Lytechinus pictus: one gene and its partners. The protein of the gene in region 2 interacts with the protein of the main gene of each other region in a pairwise test. Links are inferred from orthologs where the notes say so. Each region holds a gene or a part of one and is shown on either strand. Other genes may lie near its edges.

What was found.
Region 1: the proteins of abl interactor 2-like (region 2) and nck-associated protein 1-like interact in a two-hybrid assay, tested with the Drosophila melanogaster proteins (2 studies listed by BioGRID). The link is inferred for Lytechinus pictus from reciprocal best matches to the Drosophila melanogaster genes Abi and Hem.
Region 3: the proteins of abl interactor 2-like (region 2) and actin nucleation-promoting factor WASL-like interact in a two-hybrid assay, tested with the Drosophila melanogaster proteins (2 studies listed by BioGRID). The link is inferred for Lytechinus pictus from reciprocal best matches to the Drosophila melanogaster genes Abi and WASp.

Annotation. Positions count from the first base shown.
Region 1 is NW_026974140.1:15,023,346-15,031,270, reverse strand, and holds the start of nck-associated protein 1-like, read left to right. Parts: upstream 1-4,448; 5' UTR 4,449-4,597; coding exon 4,598-4,708; intron 4,709-7,925. UniProt on the Drosophila melanogaster protein: Plays a role during growth of the oocyte.
Region 2 is NC_087247.1:39,154,745-39,162,248, reverse strand, and holds the start of abl interactor 2-like, read right to left. Parts: upstream 3,530-7,504; 5' UTR 3,458-3,529; coding exon 3,341-3,457; intron 2,122-3,340; coding exon 1,954-2,121; intron 1,632-1,953; coding exon 758-1,631; intron 195-757; coding exon 66-194; intron 1-65.
Region 3 is NC_087247.1:47,756,504-47,764,160, reverse strand, and holds the start of actin nucleation-promoting factor WASL-like, read left to right. Parts: upstream 1-4,548; coding exon 4,549-4,638; intron 4,639-7,657.

The DNA of each region.
Region 1 (7,925 bases), on a different chromosome or scaffold from region 2:
AAAATACAAAAGAAATAGTGGGTGGATGACGTCATAGTCTCCTCATTTGCATACCAGCCAGGATGTGCATATAACTGTTTTGTGAAATTAAGCGAAACTTTGAAATGTCATAACTTTCTTATTTTACATCCGATTTTGATGAAAATTTCAGTGTTATGCTTGTTGGATTTTTCTCTTTTTATTCAAATCAACTTTTTGTTGCGGCGGACTTGTCCTTTAAGGCTTAACAAGACAGTATTGGCGTGTGAAACCCTACCTAAAGTGGAAAAATTTGTATTTTCAATGTCACAGACTCATTTTAAAGGGTAATAAAGTGAATATTGGGGGCATATTCGGTTTCAAATAAGACTTTAATTCCTATTGTTTTTATCATCCATCATTTCTATCACCACACACTTTCCGAACTTTAAACATTTCCATGGTTGAGCGAGCACATTCAAAAACTTAGGAATAAATACTCTTTATACTGCATAAATGTATTCTTTTCCTAACAATTTCTCATGATCAGGTTAATTTATGGACAAATCAGTGATGGGTCCAGAATTTTAAAATGGGGGGAGGGGCCTATAATCGGGGGAGCCACCAACATTTTCAAATTTTAACATGATCTAACAAGTTGTAGAAGATACAACCATAAACCCCTATGATGATACGTTACAATACAGGGGCCGGGGAAGGGTTTTCAAAGTGGGGGGGGGGGGGGGGCTGACCATGCAAAAAATCACAATCGTATGGTCATTTTTACATTTTTGTACATGCTTTTGGAAAAAAGTGGGGGGATGAAGCTCCCCGCCCAGCCCCCCCCCCCGCTTCTGAGGCCCCTGCAATATATTGTGCTCACTCAACCATGAATATATGATATCAAAATTGTGTGTGGAGTGGCTAAATGATGGATAGTAAAGCAGCATAACACCATAAAATTCACTTAAAGACAACATTTGCCCAACTTTGTATGTGCACAATCTGAAAAACGACTCTTGTGACTTTCAAAAATGGTCATTTTTAATTCAATCTTTAATTACTCATGCATGACTCAACCGATCAATCTTATTTTTCTCCGGGAGTTGCTTAATGAGTGTAGAAAACCACCTACGGAATATCATATCTCAAAATAATTCCGTTCAAAAGTTACAGCAATTTGATTTAGGGGGGACATACTTTTTTTTGTTGTGTATATATTATTTCTGCTCTTTTGGCAAATTAATAAAAAAAAATTCTCTGTCACACAAAAAAACAAGAAACAAACAAATGGAAGAAAAGTTGATATATGGTTTTGCAAAAGGCTTGCAAATATGTCCTTGTCATTCCTCGTATAGAGCTCGGGGAAGAAATATTTCTTTATTTTTATATAAGATTAGGCCGACTGTTTACTTCACCCCTCAAATTTCTTCTGACTTTTTATATGTTATAATGTGGATATGTATAAGGCATGAAAAAATGAAGTTATAATTTCACAATTGAGAATTTACTTTTCTTAGTTGAAAACATTGTTAAATGGTAATCAAATTTGACAAAAGACCAATGACACGCCTAATGATACTATCGATATCATGATTATCAATATTCTCAGTCACCGTTATCATTGTCATTTAAAAGAATCGAAGACGTTAGAATATAATATGAGGTGAGCCTTTTTACGAGAGATGATATCATTTTCAAAAATAATACTCTGATCTCTTTCAAACTATGTTATGGCAAGAATAAAGAGAACTTAATGAAAGCAATTGCCCTGCAATAAAACTGGAAAGGGACACTGTAATTAGCATTCCTATCCTGATATAAATTATAAAAATCCCTTCAAAATTTTAATTCGAAAATAGTTTGCATAGATCTCGCCTAGTACTGTATTACTACTTTGACACCTGGTATATGCTCGACCCCGCTAAATCTTTACTTTGATAGAAATTGATTTGTTTCAGAAAAAATGTTTATTTGGATTTATAGCTAGGGTGATATGTTTGAGGTTTAGATTATCATGTTGTTCCTGTGAGAAATTGTCGCAATTAAGTCATGGAGTCATCAAAAGGTTTTTAAGAAAGCGAGGCCAAGTAAGCCGGACTGAGGCTAGAGTTTGAAGATTAGAACATAACGGGGGATGCATGAATGTTTAATATTGTATGATATTATGATAGACAGTCTTCAGTATCTTTTTATAATCATTTACAAATAAAACTCCGTTCATGGTTTACAATATATATGATTCCTCTCGATGTCGTAGGCCTAATAGGCCTATCGCAGGGGAGGCCTTAATTGGGGGTGCTTGCCCCCCCCCCCCCTCCAAAAAAAAATCATGACCTAGTAAAAAAAGAAGAGAAGGGGATTGATAAAAGGGAAAGAGAGAAAGGTGAGATATGATATCATTTCCTGAATATTATGTCAATATCTATGACAATATTAGATTTTTGTAATATATCACTCTCAACTTCTTACGCGGTACGCCATACCTAGCTCCTTCAAACTTTCTGCACTACGCCACCATCACTGAGCAGCGAGTAACACTTCCTGGCGGAGAACTTCGGGGAATGCCTACAAAATATATATTTTTTTTAATCGAACGCACATTAAAGCAATTAAGCCAGCGCGATAACCGGTGAGCTAAAATCTTTGATATACTGATATGTAAAAAAGGAAAATGTCAAGGACTGTTTCTTGCCGGTTTCTTGCTATTAGTTTAGAGGATCAAACACCTCACGATTCGATCATATATTGCGAGCGCGAAGCGCAAACTGAACATTTGTTTTGTATCCAGACCGGAAAACGGAGTATTTATATAACCACTTGTTTGTAATAGGTTCTCTATCTCTATCTCACTACATATTATACTGACCCGAAAATGAAAGTTTCGATCATTGTTTGACATGAAGAAAATTATTATGTGGATATATACTGTACGTTCCCCTGCCCCCCCCCCCCCCCTCGGTGTTGCGCCTCGTCGGATGGGGACCCACGAATCGGACGATAATTCCTTTTGTACGTCCCGCAGATATCAGACTACAGATTTTGTATGGTTGTGTATATAAAAGTCAAACCCAGCTTTTCGGGGGGAGGGATACATTCTTTATAGTTTTTTTTTTTATAATGCAAGTTTAATACTAGGAAATAAAAAAATATATTTTTGATAAACATCGGGATAAACATGCAGCGTTTTCTTGATGAAAATGCATGGTTTTTCATTCGATTGACATTAGTTTTCTAAATAATTTATTTTTTCTAGTGAAATTATTTTGTTATATATAGCTAAGGAATGAAGCTGCTGTTTTGTATTTGGATAATTGGGTGAAAAGAAATGATTGTTTTATGAGACAGCATGGTCATAGATTGTGTAACGAAAACCTGGAGGGGCAATATGCTGCAATCACAATCACATAAATGGACACCGTATACTCCTATATTTAAACTGGATTAAACAACGGAAGGCTAATCCCTCTCATTCCGCGGTCCAGAATAGGCCTATGCCATATGATTTCCTTGTGCTAAATAATGCCTAATATGTTTCTGGGGCCAGTGAGAACTCTCTGATCGATGGTTCGATCAGCTTGGCTTCATGAGCTCACATTATATTATGTGTCCTGTTCATGATTATAAAATGTCATATTGCATAAAACTTTCGTTTTTTAGGTCAGTACACTAAAAAGAAAATTTAGCTCACATGCATTTAGTATTTATAGTGAGATACTTAAACTTATGGATATACTTTTTTTGTATGATGAATTCAAACGGCATTAAAACTTCCCTGTTCAATTCAGTATGAAAAAAATGGGTCGTGCTTCATACCTAAATTGTTATAATTTGTACTGAAAAATAACGCCAAGAAATTACTTCAATCTTTGATTCTGGACCCCCGTTCCGACCCCCATCCCCACCAATTAGCTCTTCCAGCAGCCCGGCTTTTGCAGAAAAATATGGATAACATTTTTCTCCTTCCCCGCCCACTCTCACCCCCTCCTGATGCACATCTGTTTTCGAGTAAAAACGCTCGATCACTTGAAAAAAAAAATTGTTTATTAAAAAAAAAAACTGTTTATCCCATCGAGACTCGGAAAATTCCTTTGCGGTAAAATAAGTTTATCAACCACGAACTATTTCTTTAATAAAAAAAAGTTACGTTCACTAGTTGACATTTATGACCCTGTATGGAAAAAATACCTTGATAGAAAAAACAGTCCATATGTCTAGGGGGGGGGGGGCATTAGGCGCGCCACGCATGTTTATTGATTTTCCTTCCGCATTCACGTGCTGAAATTCTATATGGTTCACGATATGCATAAGATGATATTGCCGGCTTACATTAAAAAAATAATATATTTATGTGTATCAAAATATATATTTATAATCTAAGTGATGTAAAATAATAAATTCTATTAATATCAATTATTTTTATTCGAAAAAGTGGAAGTAAAAAAAAATCTTATTTATATAAAAAAGCCTTTAATAAAGTTTGTAAATTGTTTTGATGGACTTTCTTCCTGGTTTGCATTAACGAGCGGCTGAGTTCCCTAATTTTGCGACAAGGCCGCACCTTGAATGCTAAACCTGTATCGAATGCCCTTTATTGCAGCTTTAATTAGAGTCTAGATGTCGTTGATTACTGTCTGATATGTCCAGCAGGATGCCTGTATCTCAAGGCCAGCTCAAGCTGGCTGAAAAACTCTCAATTCTCAATGATCGTGGCACAGGAATGCTCGCAAGATTATACAACATCAAAAAGGTACGAATAACAGTGGGCCACTCATATTACCACCGTATGCAATATATGATGCACACAAGGGAATTGGTGTAAGCACGATTCCTTGATGGTTGCGTTCGAATAACACAGAAGTAAAATCACCGTTTTAGCACACTAGACGTACGATTCTATACTTACAATATTTTTGTTCCAAAATATTTTTTCACAAAATGAAATTTGCATCAATGCTTGTTGAATAGGCCCTACTAGTATGTAATTTGCAAGCCAATGTAGACTAGATAATCTCCATCTCGATAATATCATGTGAAATCATGAAATCAGTCCTTCAAGTTCAAGTTCAGCTTCACGTTTATTTCGTGGGGCTCAATAAATCGCTCTCCTTATTTTTCCAGCAGCTTAATTGAGCTTCTCAGAATCGCTCTTCTTGAGGAGCTCAAATCTATTCAATACAATATATATATGAATCTTATGATAAATTGTAGATTTTTCTTAAAATTGTAAATGCTATACTAATTTACTATCCTATAGATGTGTCTGTAGGCCTATTCTGTGGTGAAACAAGGCCTGGCCAGGCCAGGGTCAATACGTTTATTCAACGCTAGCGGTCGTGTACATTTGCTTATTACATGACGTCATCCAGCCATTGCCGAGAGCCAATTTATGAATGAAAATATAGTAAGCATGCGTAGTGCTAGACAGGAATAACCGTCGTTTCTGGGGATTTATTCAACAATTTCTGACATTTTACTGTAATCCCCATTTACCGACGGAAGGGTGTACGTGTGGGCTCGCATGTGTTCTCATTCCCTCCCTTTTGTCAATTCACAGTCCAAAGTTTGATGTAATTTTACACATCGAATTTACAATCTAAGGATGTATAAACAACAAACTTTTAAAAATTAATATTTCAATGTTTAAATACTTTAAACGATATAGATGAAAAAGGCATGAAAAATATACTTTACCGATGTTTAATTGGGTTGAACACGAAAAAAATGGTCAAAATGGCAGCCAAACTATAAAATATTTACAAACGAACGTCAACAATCACGAATGTGATATCGATATTGCTTTCGATATTATACGATCTGCTCCATATGCGAACGAAACCGAAGATAAACGATACTAGTTATACTAGTACTAGTACTAGTTATAATCGCGATATATCGATTCGAGACATTAAGTTAATAACGATAATGACGTCATTCAAGATGGCAACTTGCAAGAAAAACCGTCAGGTCAGGTGAAAATGTCTTAGATGACAGATTTCTCAATCATCCAGAGGATTTTTTTCAATAACTCCGGCCCAAGGTATGCAATTACTTAAGTTATTTATATTTCCCTGATAATGGAAACCATGAAACTTTCAATTTTGCTTAAAAAACAGTTTTAAATCGCGATCTATAAAACGCTAGTTCACTATACGTTGGCTGTAGGTACGGGGCCCCATCCCCTTCAGTCTATGTATGGTGAGTGGAGCCAACATAGTTCAGCGGAACAACCAAAATACAGAGACTGAAGCTTTTGGTCTAGCGTAGTGCAAGCCTTCCATTTCCCCACACAGTATTCCACCAAAACAAGTGTGCAATTCTCTATCACCTCGTACCTAAATCGACCTAGAAATAATTTCACTTATATTTTATATGAATTATGAAAGGGTTTCTCGGAGGTTATATTTTCTCACCGATACCGCACAGGTAAGCGAATTTCGATTACTTCTTGCTTTTCTGTCAAAATCTTACGAATTAGCGTCGGTATGGCATCGTGTTCATTGGAATTTGTAGTCTATCGCAACGTGCACAAAGTCAATTGGCTTCCCGGTTTCGGAGCGTCGCGTGAATATGCATGAAATTGCAGTTTCGATAATTTTCGATCGATGCCGGAGCGATCACGACCATTTCCCGCGTACACAAGGTGACCGGATATCGTTATCGCTATCGATACTTCTGCACGCAGTCCGATGGAATTATTTTGGCAACCACGTAGTCATGACCTGATCTGCACGATTGACCAATCAGCAGTCTCCGAATTGCTGTGCAGAGACGATCTATCCGTTGTACACAGTCTATGGACGATTTGTCGTGTAAAATATCACACTCCTGCATTTAAAAAAAAAAAACTTTTTACAAAAAATACTGTACAAAAATTTCGAAAATTTCACATTTTACATCTTTAAATCCATAAAATCGCCATCTATTTTCCTTAATTCCTTGAAATTATTTTGATTTAGTTGAAAACTAAATGAAGAATATTCAGCTCTTTCTTAATTCTTGGTACTTGGTATGATGTTCCTCCGAAATACTCCAAGAAGAGTTTTTTAAACTGATTGATGATGTTACAATCGGTAAATATTGTAGTCCCACATGTAGACTTCCATGGTGTTGCAACATTAACTGAAAATGATCGTTAGATCGTTATTGATCGATTTACACTTGGTCAACACCATGAAAATCTACATATGGGACTACAATATTTACAGAGTTTAACATCAAATCAGAGTCAGGAAAGAGGTGAATATTCTTAATTTCTTCAGTAGTTTCCAACTTAATCAAAATAATTTCAAGGAATTATGGAAAATAGATGCCTATTTCATGAAAAAAAAGATGTAAAATGTGAAATTTCAGCACCAAGGGAGGCAGCGTAGCGTAGCTCAGTCGGTTAGAGCGCCTGTTCCGGATAAGATCGTAGATCTCAACGTGCGTGGGTTAGAGTCCTGCAGCATGCCGGAAGACGTCTAATAAAAAATCTGATGGTTTTTTTAGGAGCGCAATTTTTTGTTCTCCTTATTTTTTTTTAGGAGCGCTGTAGGAGTGCCGGCGCGATCGCGCTCCTCAAAAATGAAGGTCTGTGAAATGTATTATGACTATTTTTAGTATTGCCATGTTTTGGTTTGCAGACAAAAATTGACACTGACAGCCCCTGCCCTTCGTATGACATAGTGCATGGCTAGTGTTGGTGAATTGGTGATTGATTGTGCTGGCTTGTGAAATAATTTGTAAATAATGTATAGGTGCATGTCATAAGGTGGTGTAATTTGGGTTACATGATCAAAATGGGCAAAATTCACATTTTTTATATTATAATGTAGGTACCAACAACCTCATTCCTGGATGAGTGGGTACCTAGCCTGGAGGCTCCTGGAGAGTAAAAATCATTCTACTATACGTAGGCTTACCCTCTATGGAGCCTGGGACGGGATGCCATTGCTCTATGCGCACCAAGTATTTTGGAGACAACA
Region 2 (7,504 bases):
TCTCAAAAAAGCATCTAAAATCAGTATCTAAAACTGGCAAAGAACAGTTCCTGAGTGACACTTACCTTTCTCAATGTACTGCGTGGGAACAAACTGGTCATCATCCACCTGTTCAAACTCTGGAGGTGGAGGCATCACCACACTGTCTTGGCTATATACCATAGAATCCATAGGAGGAGGTGGCAGATCTGAGGCTGTTGATAAAATGGGTGGGTGAAATTGGTGCAAAAGTAACACATTAACAGAGTTATTTCATTTTGTTTCTTTATCATCCAGGGCTCTGTTGCACAAACTGATCATCGATACTAACAGTACTTTGTAATTTAATGATAAGTTCCATGGAAACCTTGATTGTGATTGGAAGTGTAGTAGTATGATAGTTACTATTAATGAAAAGTAACCAAAGCACTGATGATACATATTTTACAGCAGAGCCCTAGTATTGAATGTTGTCATGTGCAGGAAATCATCATCAACAGTGCAATGAAATACATCTGAGAAAGATACAGAATGGTGATTATGAGACATTAGATATTATCAGTGTTTCTCATTTTATATCTGAGGGTGCCTGGTTTAATAATGATCTTCATGCAGCCCGATTCTCACCAAGTGATTGTAATATGACTTGATACTTGAGCATTAAATAAATCATGCATATATCTATGCAACCATGTCATGATTAAAGTGAAAAAGGAATTGAAATGACTGAATTTCTTGGCCTTTACTTCCAAAAGCACTTGAGATGTCCGGAACCTACCTCCCATATCAGGTGGTGGAGGCATCCCGATATCCCCATATGGGTTAATGGAGTTACGTTGGGCTTCTCCTGCACCTGGCCTCATTCCAATAGCTTGGTTCAGCTGGGCAGCAAAATTTGGCTGTTGCTGCGGGGGTGGTTGTTGGGCTGCTGGGGGTGGTTGGTGTGTTGCTGGAGGTAGCTGATGTACAGCTGGTGCAGGTGATGGTGCTGGGGGCATCATACCTCCTATTGGGGGTGCAGGAGGGGCAGGAGGTCCCATATTAGGTGGTGGTGGTTGGCCCATGTTAGTATGTGGAGGCCCACTCATGACAGGTGGTGGAGGTGGCACTTGGCCGACTGGTGCCATACCAGGGTGTGTACCTGGCATGTTTGGTGGAGGGGGTGGGGCTGCAGGTACATTTGGGTCTGGTTGTCCCTGCATGTATCCTGGAATCGATGGCCTTTCCTTTGGTGGCGCCCCGTGGTGAGAATCCCGCATGCCCACTTTACCAATAGACATATACTGTGGTGGTACAGTTGGTGCAACTGGTGGGTGATTGGGCATTCGTCTACGCATGGAGTTGTACGGGTCATCCAGTCGTGGCTGGTAAACTGGCAATGCTTCATATGCTCCACCACCACCACTGTTAGATGTAGAAGTGCTTGCTTGTGAATCTGTTCGTGGTCTACCTGACGTTGTTGAAGGAGAACTAAGTTTGAGACCATGACCTACGTCATCCAGAGCTGAAAAATCAATGGGAGTGGACTTATACTTAAGCTGCTTCTCAGGATTGGGTGGTGTGACAACCTTATGAGTGCGAGGGCAATTCTTATTGGTGGTTAACACACCAATCTCTCGACGTGCTACTTTCTCCTTGTGGATGGCAACATTCTGAAAGAAAAAAAAAGAGAGATTTGTTTACAACTGTACTTTGGCAATTCCACAGATTTGTCGAATAACCACCAGGCTCATGCTAAATGAATTTGCTGTACCTCCAATCACACATTTTATTAGTCCAATACTAAGTACTATGGTGTATAAAGAAACAATAACAATTTTATGGAACAAGTTGGGGGGAGGGCCTAAAACACATCAGACAGTGTGAATTCTTAATGAGTCAAAATCAACATGTACAGTACTTTACATAGAAGAAATTAAATTGCTTCCACACTGTCTTTACCAAGTTGAAACTGAGGAAAAAGATTGAGCTTACCTGTGCTATGTGATTGATGCTAGACTCCATGTTGGCCAGCTGTGTGGCTTGAAGATCTAGCATCTGCAACATACTGGTAGCAAGTGTGTTGATCTGATATGCCACACTGGCAAGAGATTGAGTGGTGAAGTTCTTTGTTTCCTCAAGTGCTCTCCTCTTATCAGAGGCCTTTATCAAAAAGATAGAAAAGGAAATATATGATGAGAGTGATTTGTGTGGTAATGTATGGTAGGATGGGATGGGATTATCTTATGATTTGTTGATGCCTCATTCAGATATGAAGCAACTAAGCTCAGTAATGTTTTTCATAGAAAAAGTGAGACTAATTGCCTCACCTACATCCAAGTAAACCTGTATAATATTTTTCAAGTTTGAAAAGGGCTGAGCTACTGTAGATTTGAAGTCCACATTAGATTGGGGGACATCATGACCACTAAGTTTGAGGGAAGATGACAGTCAGAGGCAAAAATATGTCTTTTTCAATGCCATAATATTCTAAAGATAGGCAGGGAAAAGGCAGTTTCATTAAAATCACTTGGTCTTGGGTGGTTTGTCACTTCACAGGTATTATCTTAATATCCTGTTTCAATTTTTATGTGACTGGTTCATTCGTTTAGACTTCTTTTAATCTTAAATTTTCAGTTTGAGTTTTATTTTTTCATTGTTGTGGAGTCTGTTTGTCACACCTATACATGTAATCTGCGTGATTCTAGTATTTATAGTAAAAGAACAGAAATTTTACGCATGCAATACATAGACAGATATTCATAAAAAAATCTGATTTAAAATGGTGGGAAAATAATTAAATCGTTAGGTGCGCAGGCTTGGGGACCACCATCATAATATAAGTTTGGTAAGTTCCCGTCTGCGCAGTCCCCCTTGTCTGCGCACTTGCGTATCTGCGCGATTCTAGTAAAAGATACGTAATGAACACATTTACACATGCAATACATAGAAAGATATTCATCAAAATGGTGGAAAAATAATGAATTTTGGGCATTTCTTGTGACGGCCTCAAAATGCAGCCTTTCTCAAAATCCCAGAGTGAATGGGTGCGCAGACATGGGGCACCATTTTATTTTCTTGTTCAATCTGAAAGTGAAAGTGAAAATGACTGCCCAATGTTTTTTCCGAAAAAATCATATATTTCATTCAAAATTTTCAAATTATCATGACATGAGATATTTGGCACACTAACTCATAATGATGTCAGGAACATTATCAACTGAAAATTTTGTGAAATAAAAAGAAATATATGTTAAATCTTAACTCAAATTTTAGGTGCGCAGAGTTGGGGACCAATTCAATTTCGACCAACAATAATAACATGACCAACTTAAAATTCTGCGAGTGGGACCGAGGTAATACAAAAATTGATTAAATCTACCTTCCGGTAATTATCTTCGCAATAATTAGCCACATCTTGCAAGTTGTGATGACTGTCCTGTAAAGCCTGTCTTCCAGCAGGAATTTCATTTTCGAAAAGAAGTTCCAACGTTGACATTTTGTACAATTTTGTCCAAGTTCGCAGAAGCTTCCGTGTTCATAAATGGAATTATGGGTAATCTAGGAGTGTCACTCTCACTTCCGGTATTTGGGGAGCGTTTCATGAAATTCGAAAGGATTTGTCGGACGTTTTTCCGAAGGTCATTTTATGGTTTTAATCCGACAGTTACCAAAGTGACATTGCTTCGCACCCAATCAAAATCAAAGAAAGATGTTAGATCTGAAAATTTGTCGAACGAAAACGTTGCATTGATGAAACACTCAGGGCCCCGTCTTACAAAGAGCTACGATCGATCCAGATCCTATCGCGCCCCCGGGATCAACCTCAAGTATATGGAATTTTTTTTATTTGGAAATTTGCACATTGTGCTTTGAAAACAAAGAGAAAAACACTGAATTTTCAAGAAAACAGTAAATGTATTTACATATCTTGGAAATATTTTGAACAAACATTTATTTCAAATGTTGACGTTGCTGGCTTTCCATAATTGTGGTTGATTGGATCAATTCGTACATGTAGGATTGTAAGACGGGGCCCCCGGGGGGGGGGGCACTCGACCAAAAAAGTGGTAGGGGTGTGCCGCGGGCGAGGCAAAAAACGGGGGCCTTATAATTGGAGCGGGCTTATTGTAAAAAGGAGGGTCCTCGGAACTACAAATGTTTGTGAAAACGGGGGTCCTCGGAACGGATCTCCGTATCTCTGTGAGTGCGTATGCATCCCTATGGAACGGGCAACGTGCACGACGCAGCTAGCGCGGCCTCCGCCGGGTGCGCTCGCGCTTAGGCGATGGTCGAAAAGCGCTCTACGGCCGCTTTTCACCAAAATTGTAGCAGATCAATGCGACCGGAACGGCGTAACGAAAAATATGCGAAGCCTTGGAGCGGATTTCTTTCTTCTTTTTTCTCGATAAGAAGGAAATGCTATGCCTTGGAGCGGCTTTCTTTGTTCTTTTTCTCAATAAGACAAAAATGCTATGCCTTAATTGGAACGGAAATTTGAGTGTAAAAATGGGGGTCCCCTCCGCGGCACATACCCACTATGCATTATATACTGAGTGCCCCCCCCCCCCCCGGGACGGGGCCCTGGGTGCGCGTTTCCGTTTTACACCCTGGCGAAGGCATTTTCCGAAAAAATAGCCACAAAGCGACTAGTGAAGAGTCTACGTCTACGTTTGTTTACATAATCAGCTGGGCGCGCGATCCAAAATTCCGCTCCGAAGATATCCGCAGAACATACGTAGACGGGTCAATATACGACCAAAAATAGCCTTACCCGGAACAAATTGCAACAAATGATTTTTCAACGGTATTTTGTACTATTTGACCTCAGGAATAACATACTAAAAATCTACCTAAATCCGCATCCGGGAAAGTGGTTATTTTCAAGATGGCGTCCAAGATAGCCGCCATTCACTGAAAATTGATACAACTGACACATTATCCACCCTAGAATCCTATTTCGTTCTATATTCCATGGTCTGGGGCACAAAAGTTGATTTAGGCAAGAAAGAATTATAAGCCCTCCAGTGTACCAGGCAAATCCAAGATGGCGCCCAAAATGGCTGCCGTGGGCTGAAAATCCACAATTCATCTAAATTTGTTTTTCATTCAATGGTTTTAAGGGTGAAATAGTACATTGAAACTAGTTACAAGGACAGCCAGTGGTCTGGTGTGTCCAAAAATCCAAGATTGCTTCCAAAAACGGAGTTTAAAATGGCTGTTGATAATTAAAATGGACATAGTTCATTTCATATCCGCCTGGGACATAATGATTTTGGTGTCTAGACCACGAATTCAATGGTCAAATAAGACATTGGGACACGTTACAAGGACAGTCAGTGGTCCAGTATGTTCAAAAATCCAAGATGGCTTCCAAAGATGGAGTCGAAAACTGCTGTTGCTACTTAAAAACCCGACATAGTTTGCTCAATGTCCAGAAATATGATTTTTTTTTGTGTCTATACCATGGTTAAATGGGTCAAATAATACATTCGGACAAGTTACAAGGAAAGTCAGTGGGCTGGTATGTGCAAAAATCCTCGATGGATTCTAAAAATTGATTCTGAAATGGCTGCTTATACTTAAAGCGGACATAGCTCATTTCATTTTGGACTGGGATATGTGATTTTGATGTCTAAACCACTGGTTTCAAGGGTCAAAAATATATTAGGATAAGTTACAAGGACAGTCAATGGTCTGGTATGTCCAAAAATCGAAGATGGTGTCAAAAAATTGGTCTTAAAAATATGCTGCTGATACTTAAAACGGACAAAGCTCATTTCATATTGGCCTGGAAAGGTGATTTCTGTGTCTAAACCACTAGTTTCAAGGATCAATTAATACATTAGGGCAAGTTACAAGGACAGTCAGTGGCCTGGTCGGTCAAAAAACCTAAGTTGGCTTCCAAAACTTGATTCTAAAATGGCTGTTGATACTTAAAAGTGGCATAGCTCGTTTTAACTCAGCCTGTGAGATATGATTTCGGTGTCTAAACTATGGTTTCAAGGGTCAAATAATAAATTAGGACAAGACAATGGCAGTCAGTGGCTTAGTACGTCCAAAATTACAAGATGGCTTCCAAAAATGGAGTAAAAAAATGTCTGATGTTACTTACATAAGGACATAGTTTGTTTAACATCTGTCTGGGGAATATGAGTTTGGTGTTAAAAGCATGGTTTAAAAGGGTCAAGTAATACACTAGGGTAAGTTACAAGACCAGTCAGTTGTCTGTATGTTAAAAAATCCAAGATTACTTAAAAAAATGGGGTGTAAATTGACTGTTGTTGTTTAAAAGTATGCATAGTTTATTATAAATACACCTTGGAGGTATGATTTTGCTGTCTATACTAGAGTTTACAGGGTCAAGCAATACATTGGGATAAGTTCAAAGGACAGTCAGGTGTCAGGTATGTCCAAAAATCAAAGATGGCTTTAAAAATGGGGGTCTTAAAGACTGCTGTTACTTAAAAGGGGATGTAGAACATTATAAATACACCTTGGGGATATTATTTTGGTGTCTACACTAGGGTTTCAAGGGCCAAACAATACTTTGGGACTGGTTACCATGATATGCAGCAATTCATTTTGCCTTGAAATCCAAGTTGGCTTAAGAATGGGTTCTAAAGTGACTACCGTTACATAAAATATCTACCTGTTAGAAATAATCTTGGTGCCTACACTTAAATGCATGGGGACAAGTTATCATATTGTTTCATGAGTTGGTAACAGCACCCATTTTGATGAAATTTTAGAATCTTTGACAAAATGGGGTACTAACCATCTTTGTTACTTTTCCGAATGTATTATTTGACCCTTCATACCACAATTTGGACACCAACATTATTTCTTGCAGATGAATATTGTAGAACTCTGACCAGTATTGAATGATATGAGTCGTTTTAGATTCCTTTTTTAAAAACCCTCTTGTGTTTTAGGCAAACTGGACAACTGCATATCAATGTAACCAGTCCAAACGTATTATTTTAATCATGAAACCATAGTGTGGACACCGAAATCATATCTCCTAGGTGGAATTTAAAGGAACTATGTCCATTTTTAAAGTAACAGCAGTCATTTTAGACTCCGATTTTTGGAAGCTTTCTTAGATTTTCGACATACTGGACCACTGACTGTCCTTGTAACTAATTTTCTGCCTTTTGAAACCATGATATAGGCAACAAAATCATATGCCCTTGACGAATAAAACCTAACTATGTCAATTTTTAAATACCATCGCGGCTAATTGATACTATGCCACCGTGGACTTTTGGACATACTTGACCAACAAACGTCCTTGTAACCTATCCCAATTTATTATTTGACCCATTTAACCATGGTATAGGCACAAAAAATCATATTCCCGGATATTTAACAAACTATGTTGGTTTTTTTTAAAGTAGCAACAGCATTTTTTACTCCATTTTTGGAAGACATCTTGGATTTTTTTAACATACCGGACCACTGACTGTCCTTGTAACTTGTCACAATGTATTATTTGACCATTGAAACCATGGTCTAGACATCAAAATCATATCTCTCAGGTGGA
Region 3 (7,657 bases), about 8.6 Mb from region 2:
TGATAGATGTACTTAGACGACCTGCATGTTATGCTGCAGTCGGAGGTCACATGGTAAGGTCAAAGGTCATTTTCAGGTCAATGTTAAAGTTTACATGCAAGACTCTCATATGACACCTAACTCCGTAACCGTCAGTCACTTTTCAACCAAACTTGGATGGTAGATAGACTTGGGGGACCTGCATGTTATGCTGCAGTCGGAGGTCACATGGTAAGGTCATTTTCAGGTCAACGTTAAAGTTTACATGCAAGACTCTCTTATGACACCTAACTCCGCAACTGTAAGTTGCTTTTCAACCAAACTTGGATGGTAGATGGACTTGGGGAACCTGCATGTTATGCTGCAGTCGGAATTCACATGATAAGGTCAAATGTCATTTTCAGGTCAACGTTAAAGTTTACATGCAAGACTTTTTTATGACACCTAACTCCGCAACCGTAAGTCACTTTTCAACAAAACTTTTATGATAGATGTACTTAGACGACCTGCATGTTATGCTGCAGTCGGAGGTCACATGGTAAGGTCAAAGGTCATTTTCAGGTCAATGTTAAAGTTTACATGCAAGACTCTCATATGACACCTAACTCCGTAACCGTCAGTCACTTTTCAACCAAACTTGGATGGTAGATAGACTTGGGGGACCTGCATGTTATGCTGCAGTCGGAGGTCACATGGTAAGGTCATTTTCAGGTCAACGTTAAAGTTTACATGCAAGACTCTCTTATGACACCTAACTCCGCAACTGTAAGTTGCTTTTCAACCAAACTTGGATGGTAGATGGACTTGGGGAACCTGCATGTTATGCTGCAGTCGGAATTCACATGATAAGGTCAAATGTCATTTTCAGGTCAACGTTAAAGTTTACATGCAAGACTTTTTTATGACACCTAACTCCGCAACCGTAAGTCACTTTTCAACAAAACTTTTATGATAGATGTACTTAGACGACCTGCATGTTATGCTGCAGTCGGAGGTCACATGGTAAGGTCGAAGGTCATTTTTAGGTCAACAATACAGTTTACGTGCAAGGCTCTTAAGACAAGTGTTATTCCATCCCAGTCATTTCACAATGAAGTTTGATACGATTCTGTTGCGTGCCCTCGCAAATCATGATATTTCTGGTTTTTTTCATAAGTGGGCGAGACACAAAATCGCTTTTGCCTTGTTTTTTTAGATCTAGGCCTGTTTTACCATTGTCAGCCACGGTTGTTGGTGAAGTTCACGGTTGGCGGATTTGCCCTGAAAATTTTCAGGGTAGTCGCCGCCCGCCAACCGTGATGCATGGTAGCGAGAACGTTGCTACCTTCAATATAAATCAGTAGAGGCGCTGGTCAGAAAATTTGGATCGTCCCAGTTCCAGGGACTGTCTCAGTTTTCAAAGATTTTGCCACCCAAGAAATCTAACAAAGTTCATTGACCTGTCAATTGCAGACACCAATCAAGTGCGCTAGTCAATGTGAACATATCAGGTTTCATAACAAGATTATTGGACGACAGCAAGTAATTCAAAATAGACTGGGAATTGAGGTCACTGAATTTTTTTTTTAGCACTCTCAATCCCCGTAATTGCCATCTATGTCCTGCAGGGGTAAGTGCAAAAACTGTCCCCATAATAAACAAGGACAATCTCAATTTATCAAGACATGATTTGTCTTGGTTTGTGAGGATATCCTTGTTTTCTGGGACAATCCCAATTTCTGGACCAGCGCCTCTACTAATAAATAGGCCTTTGTAAATATCTTGCCATAATCGTTTTTTCATCTTTACCATATCAGCTTCCAATCGCACCCATCTTCTCATTTGAAATATTTTGGTCACTTGAAAATGGTATCGTCATGATTGTATTAACCTAGGGTTACACCAAAGCCGAATGAATCTGGACTGATTCTGCCCGAATATTGCCTGATTCAGATGAATTCTCTGTATTCAGAACTTATTAGTCTCTGATCATGCTGATAGCTGATTCGGGAAGTCCCCCCCCCCCCCATTACAGGAATTGCCAAGAATTGACCCGAATCAATTAGCCATCCTGAATAAAGCCAAATGCTACCCGAATAGTGGCAAGAATGGAGCCGAATGTGGCCGGGTTACTCCTATTACAGCTAAATGATGATCTGAATCAGAACGAATTTGGCCAAATCTGCCCAGAATACTCTGAATGTTTCACCTAATCCAACGGAATGTCATCCGAATACGGTACATCCCGAAGGTGGCCCAAATGAAATTTGTTGTGGCCACATTCATTCAGGAATATTTTAGAGGGTATTCGGTTGGTTTTGACCATTTCAAAACGAGACGAATTCTTCCACAAATGTTCTTGAGTCTTTCCCGTATTTTCTCCCATTTGCGGAGGGAGAACAGAATGCTCTCGAATCCACTGGGATACGTATTTTCGGATGGTGAGATCATAATGTAGGCATCCGTCTTAGCTTAAAACCAAAAAGTGAATAAACTATGATGACACTGACCATGAGAGGTTAGTTTGACTGATTTAAAAGTGGTCAATGGGCTTAACTTTTATCAAGGTAGTGATGTGTTTAGATCTCTGAATTATTAAAGTTTTGTGGCTTGTAAATTATTCCTGAGTTTGCAATAGCCATTGAAACATAAAACTGACTTAATACTTGGCATGTTACCTATAGTACGAATATATCAAGTTGGTTTAATCAATGTTATAAGTGTATTTTAAAGGAAATTTGAATAAGTATTTAGACATACATGTAGTGCATGAATCTAGACCTATGACAGCAAAGTCTCACTGCCTAATTATGTCCAAGTTATACTTAGATCTCATTATGCGCCCGTCTCGACGGGACATATTATGGTCATGCTCGGTGTCCGTCCGTCAACTTTTCCTTGTAAACGCGATAACTCCAGTTTAACTTAACCTAGGCTCATGTAGTGTGGTGTGTATAATACTAGCATGAATCCCAGGAAGCCTATGGATTTTGAGGTCAAAAGGTCAAAGGTCAAGGTCATAGTGACATGTTTTCATCTTACCCTTGTGCAGTCCTTGTAAATGCGATAACTTCAGTTTAACTTAACCTTGGCTCATATGATTTGGTGTGTATAATACTAGCATGAATCCCAGGAAGCCTATGGATTTTGAGGTCAAAAGGTCAAAGGTCAAGGTCATAGTGACATGTTTTCATCTTACCCTTGTGCAGTCCTTGTAAATGCGATAACTTCAGTTTAACTTAACCTAGGCTCATATAATTTGATGTGTATAATACTAGCATGAATCCCAGGAAGCCTTTCAATTTTGAGGTCAAAAGGTCAAGGTCACAGTGACATGTTTTCATCTTACCCTTCTGCAGTCCTTGTAAATGCAATAACTTCAGTTTAACTTAACCTAGGCTCATGTAGTTTGGTGTGTATGATATTAGCATAGATCCCAGGAAGCCTATCAATTTTTTGGTCAAAAGGTCAGAGGTCAAGGTCACAGTGACAGGTTTTCACCTTACACTGCTGCAGTCCTTGTAAATGCGATAACTTCAGTTTAACTTTACCTAGGCTCATATAATGTGGTTTGTGGTGTGTATGGTACTATTATGGATCCCAGGAAACCTATTGATTTTGAAGTGCAAAGCCCAAGGTCACAGTGACATGTTTTCATCTTACCCTTCTGCAGTCCTTGTAAATGCGATAACTTCAGTTTAACCATGGACCTATTACGATGGACATTCAACGAATCCCCTCCTTTGGGCCAAAGACCGTCACCGCTAATCCTTTTATAAACAGAGCGCTGGCAGCTGACGCCCATCAAGCCGGTCGTAAAACAAGCTATCACTGATGGACAGCGGAAATCAATTGTACGCTGCTCCTACACATTGCGATGTTGTTCGTTCACTTTATCAAAAGCAACGCACGGCAGCGAACGTTAGCACTATGAAAATGATTGCAGAAACAAGAAAACAGGCGTGCATAAAGGTATTTTTTACGTACATCGCAAACAACCGCACATGAAATGCATTGACATCGTCGTGCAGATCAGTATATCTACTGCAAAAAAGCAGTTGAAATTTGATGGAGAAATGTGCGGAAAAACGTTAAAAATGCATCTTTTTCGGACAGTATTGATGTCGATAGTAGCGCTTACCTTCGGTCAGAAGTTGATTTTCATTTGGGCATAAAATTCCACAGGATTGATGAAATTTAACGGGATTTTTTTTCATGGTCAGACGACAATCGCACATTATAGACAGCCTAAAATAATGTACTAAAAAAACGGAGATGAGTTGCGCATTGCATTTTAGGTAATGTAGGGACTTTCCCTATTGGCAATCGGGCTAAAACATGACCGTCTTTGGTCGAAAGAGGGCCAGTGATCGATCGATGACGATCAATGGCCGAAAGGAGCTTGTGTAAACAATCGCCCCGGGCGGTCGTCGTAAAAACCGCGTAAAGAGAAAGTTAAAGGTTAGACAGCGATTTTGACAGCTGGAAACAGGTGGTGGTCATAAAATGCTATCGTTGAATGTCCATTCGTAATAGGTCCATGGTTTAACTTAACCTAGGCTCATGTAGTTTGGTGTGTATGATATTAGCATGGATCCCAGGAAGCCTATCAATTTTGAGGTCAAAAGGTCAAAGGTCAAGGTCACTGACAGGTTTTCACCTTACCCTGCTGCAGTCCTTGTAAATGCGATAATTTCAGTTTAACTTAACCTAGGCTCATATAATGTGGTGTGTATGATACTATTATGGATCACAAGAAGCCTATTGATTTTGAGGTCAAAAGTTCAAGGTCACAGTGACATGTTTTCATCTTACCCTTCTGAAGTCTTTGTAAACGTGATAACTTTAGTTTAACTTAACCCAGGCTCATCTAATTTGGTGTGTATGATACTAGCATGGATCCCAGGAATTCTATTGACTTTTAGGTCAGACTGTCAAAGGTGAAGTCGCCACCTTCCACTTTTTTTTTTGCTTGGCAAATAACTCCATTTTCCGCTTTACAGGCAGGCGTATTATGTGCTCGCCTTATAGCGACACTTGTAGAATTAGGGTTAGGGTATGAAGATGAAGAATACATACCTTGGCTTTATTTAGTCAGCAAGGTTACTGTGGTGACATCCTGGGGCTAACGTGGGAAGGGTCCCCGCGCCAAGTTGTATTTCTAAAACTGCACAGCTATGGTAGAAATCCACTGCCACTGGGCATAAATGGCCCCCAAAATCCCCCTGGTCTTTCAACTGATTAGATAGCCAATAATCTAGTAATAAGATTTTGACTGTTACAATATCATTGGTAAATTGTTGAAATGCATGTCACCCATGGCCATATCATTGGAAAATCAAAAGCCCAATATGAATTTGGCAAAGTACTAAAAGTCACAAGTATTCACAAGGCTTAGCCTAGATACAATCTAGCTGTCACATGGCTATATTCCATTAGCTTGGTACACCACACAGTCAAACAGCTTGGGTGAGAACAACTGGCACTATACTACATATACATGTAGCATACTCACAAGTCTCATGCAACAGTCATTAGGTGTGTACAAATCTGTGTCATGTGGCTTTATTCTGTTAGCGTGGTATTCTGCACAAATATTACAACAGAAGATATACTCGCTGTAAGACGAGAACTACTAGAAAATTCACAATGCCATCTAGTGACAAAAACATTGTCGTAGCTCCCTATATAATGCCCAAGCCATTAACACCTTCTTGCTGGTACATCGTGAAGGCGGAGGACATGTATGCTCAAGGTTCCTTGATTAAGTCAACATCACAACCTTCAGTTTTGTTTCTAATTAAAACTTGTTGTATTTATGTGCATTAAAACAATTCACAAACTTCTCTCCTGACAGGTATACAACAGAGGAGCAAGAGAGTAATAGACAGAGTTATATGGGAAGAGAGATAGAGAAAGAGTGAGAATGCAACAAACACCAAACCAAAACAAAAATCATAAAATGATTTTTTTTCCATTTTCTTTTATAATAACCCCCCCCCCAAAAAAAAAATATATATATTTATTTATATATATGATAATAAATAGATATAACCATGCCCCATTTTTTACTCTATACCCTTCAAAAACTGCCCTCTTTCAGAATGTTGGTTTTCAATTCAAATTCAAATAAACATTTATTTTCTTCCGTTTCACAAATTTCTACATTTTTCGTAAACATAAATTGATACAAAAATCAGTTTGTCATGTAGAATATGAATATGTACATGTTTGGTATATAGAAGATGGCATATACCCTACATGTAAATGCAAAGGCCTGTGGCGGGATATGCCTATAGATATAAATACAATACACAATACAATTGATAATACTAGGTCAGTTGATATTGATGAAATGTGGGTGGCTGTTGCAAAAGGAACTCTTTCTTTAAAAATTAATTCTACATTTTATAAAACGAAAGTTAGCACTTATGGCATGGGCATGATATTATCATGATTATTCATGAATCCACTTCATATTTTGTCTTAATTTTGTTGTTAACATTCCATTGTGTACATGGTTCTTCTCTGCAGTACCTCATTTCATTAATTAAAAGCTACACCCCTTCTAGATCCTTGTGTTCCACCACTTCAAGTTCACTTGTTACCCCCAAATTTTCCAAATCTGGGGGGGGGGGGTCATTTATCCTCTTATCCTCTAAGTTATGGAACGATCTTTCTGAGATTATTAAAAAAGATTTAACTTCTGAAACTTAAACAAAAAACCTAAAAACATTTCTTTTCAATTCTCCTTAATTTCATAATTCATGATTTATAAATATTGTCTTGAGCACTCTGCAGAATGGCTTTGACGCTATATTAGTCCAACATTATTGTTGATGCTGGAGCTGCATTTTGTACGTAAAGCAATGTACACAATATCAGTCTGATTAAAAACAATGATCTAATTGACATAAAAACAAAAGAAAACAAAGTTTTGGGAAAGCATGAGAACAATTATTATGGGCATCTTTTAAGTATGCCTACCTCTTATGTTGTTTACAGAGTAATAAGAATATTGTAAGAAAGGGTCCAGTATTCCTCTTTTTATGCGCCAACATTCCTGTGCGACTTTCAGCAAAACATAAAGGCACGAATTCACAAAGTTGATTTTCGAAACCATCGGTTGAACCCATGGTTTATGCAGATTTCATGTATAAATTACGCTTATTTACCGCATACTAAAAAATGTCCAATGCTGATACGTGCTTTTGTCACAGTACGCCAAATAGACGCCTCTTGCCTTGGTTATCCACGCTATTTTATTAATGAGTCCACTGTTTTGAATTAATGAGTCCACTCTTCAAACAGTGGACTCATTGATAAAATAGCATACTTAACCATGGCAACAGGCGTCAATTTGGCGCACTGTGACAAAAGCGTGCATCAGCACTGGAATCTTTAATATAACATGTTAAATAAGCGTAATTTATACATGAAATCTGCATAAACCATGGGTTCAACCAATGGTTTTAAAAAGAACTTTTGTGAATTTGGGCCAAAGATTTCTGCTCATTATTCCATGATTTTACATTACAGCATGCACCAATTATAATAAAATTTTCTCAATCACTGTAATGCCACAATTCCATCTCTTGACCAAACCTTATCTTTTTTTTCTAAATGTATAATGATAACATTATCATGAAACAACAGGTGCAGATAATGCAAATTTGAATCGGGTTTGCTAAATCTTTAG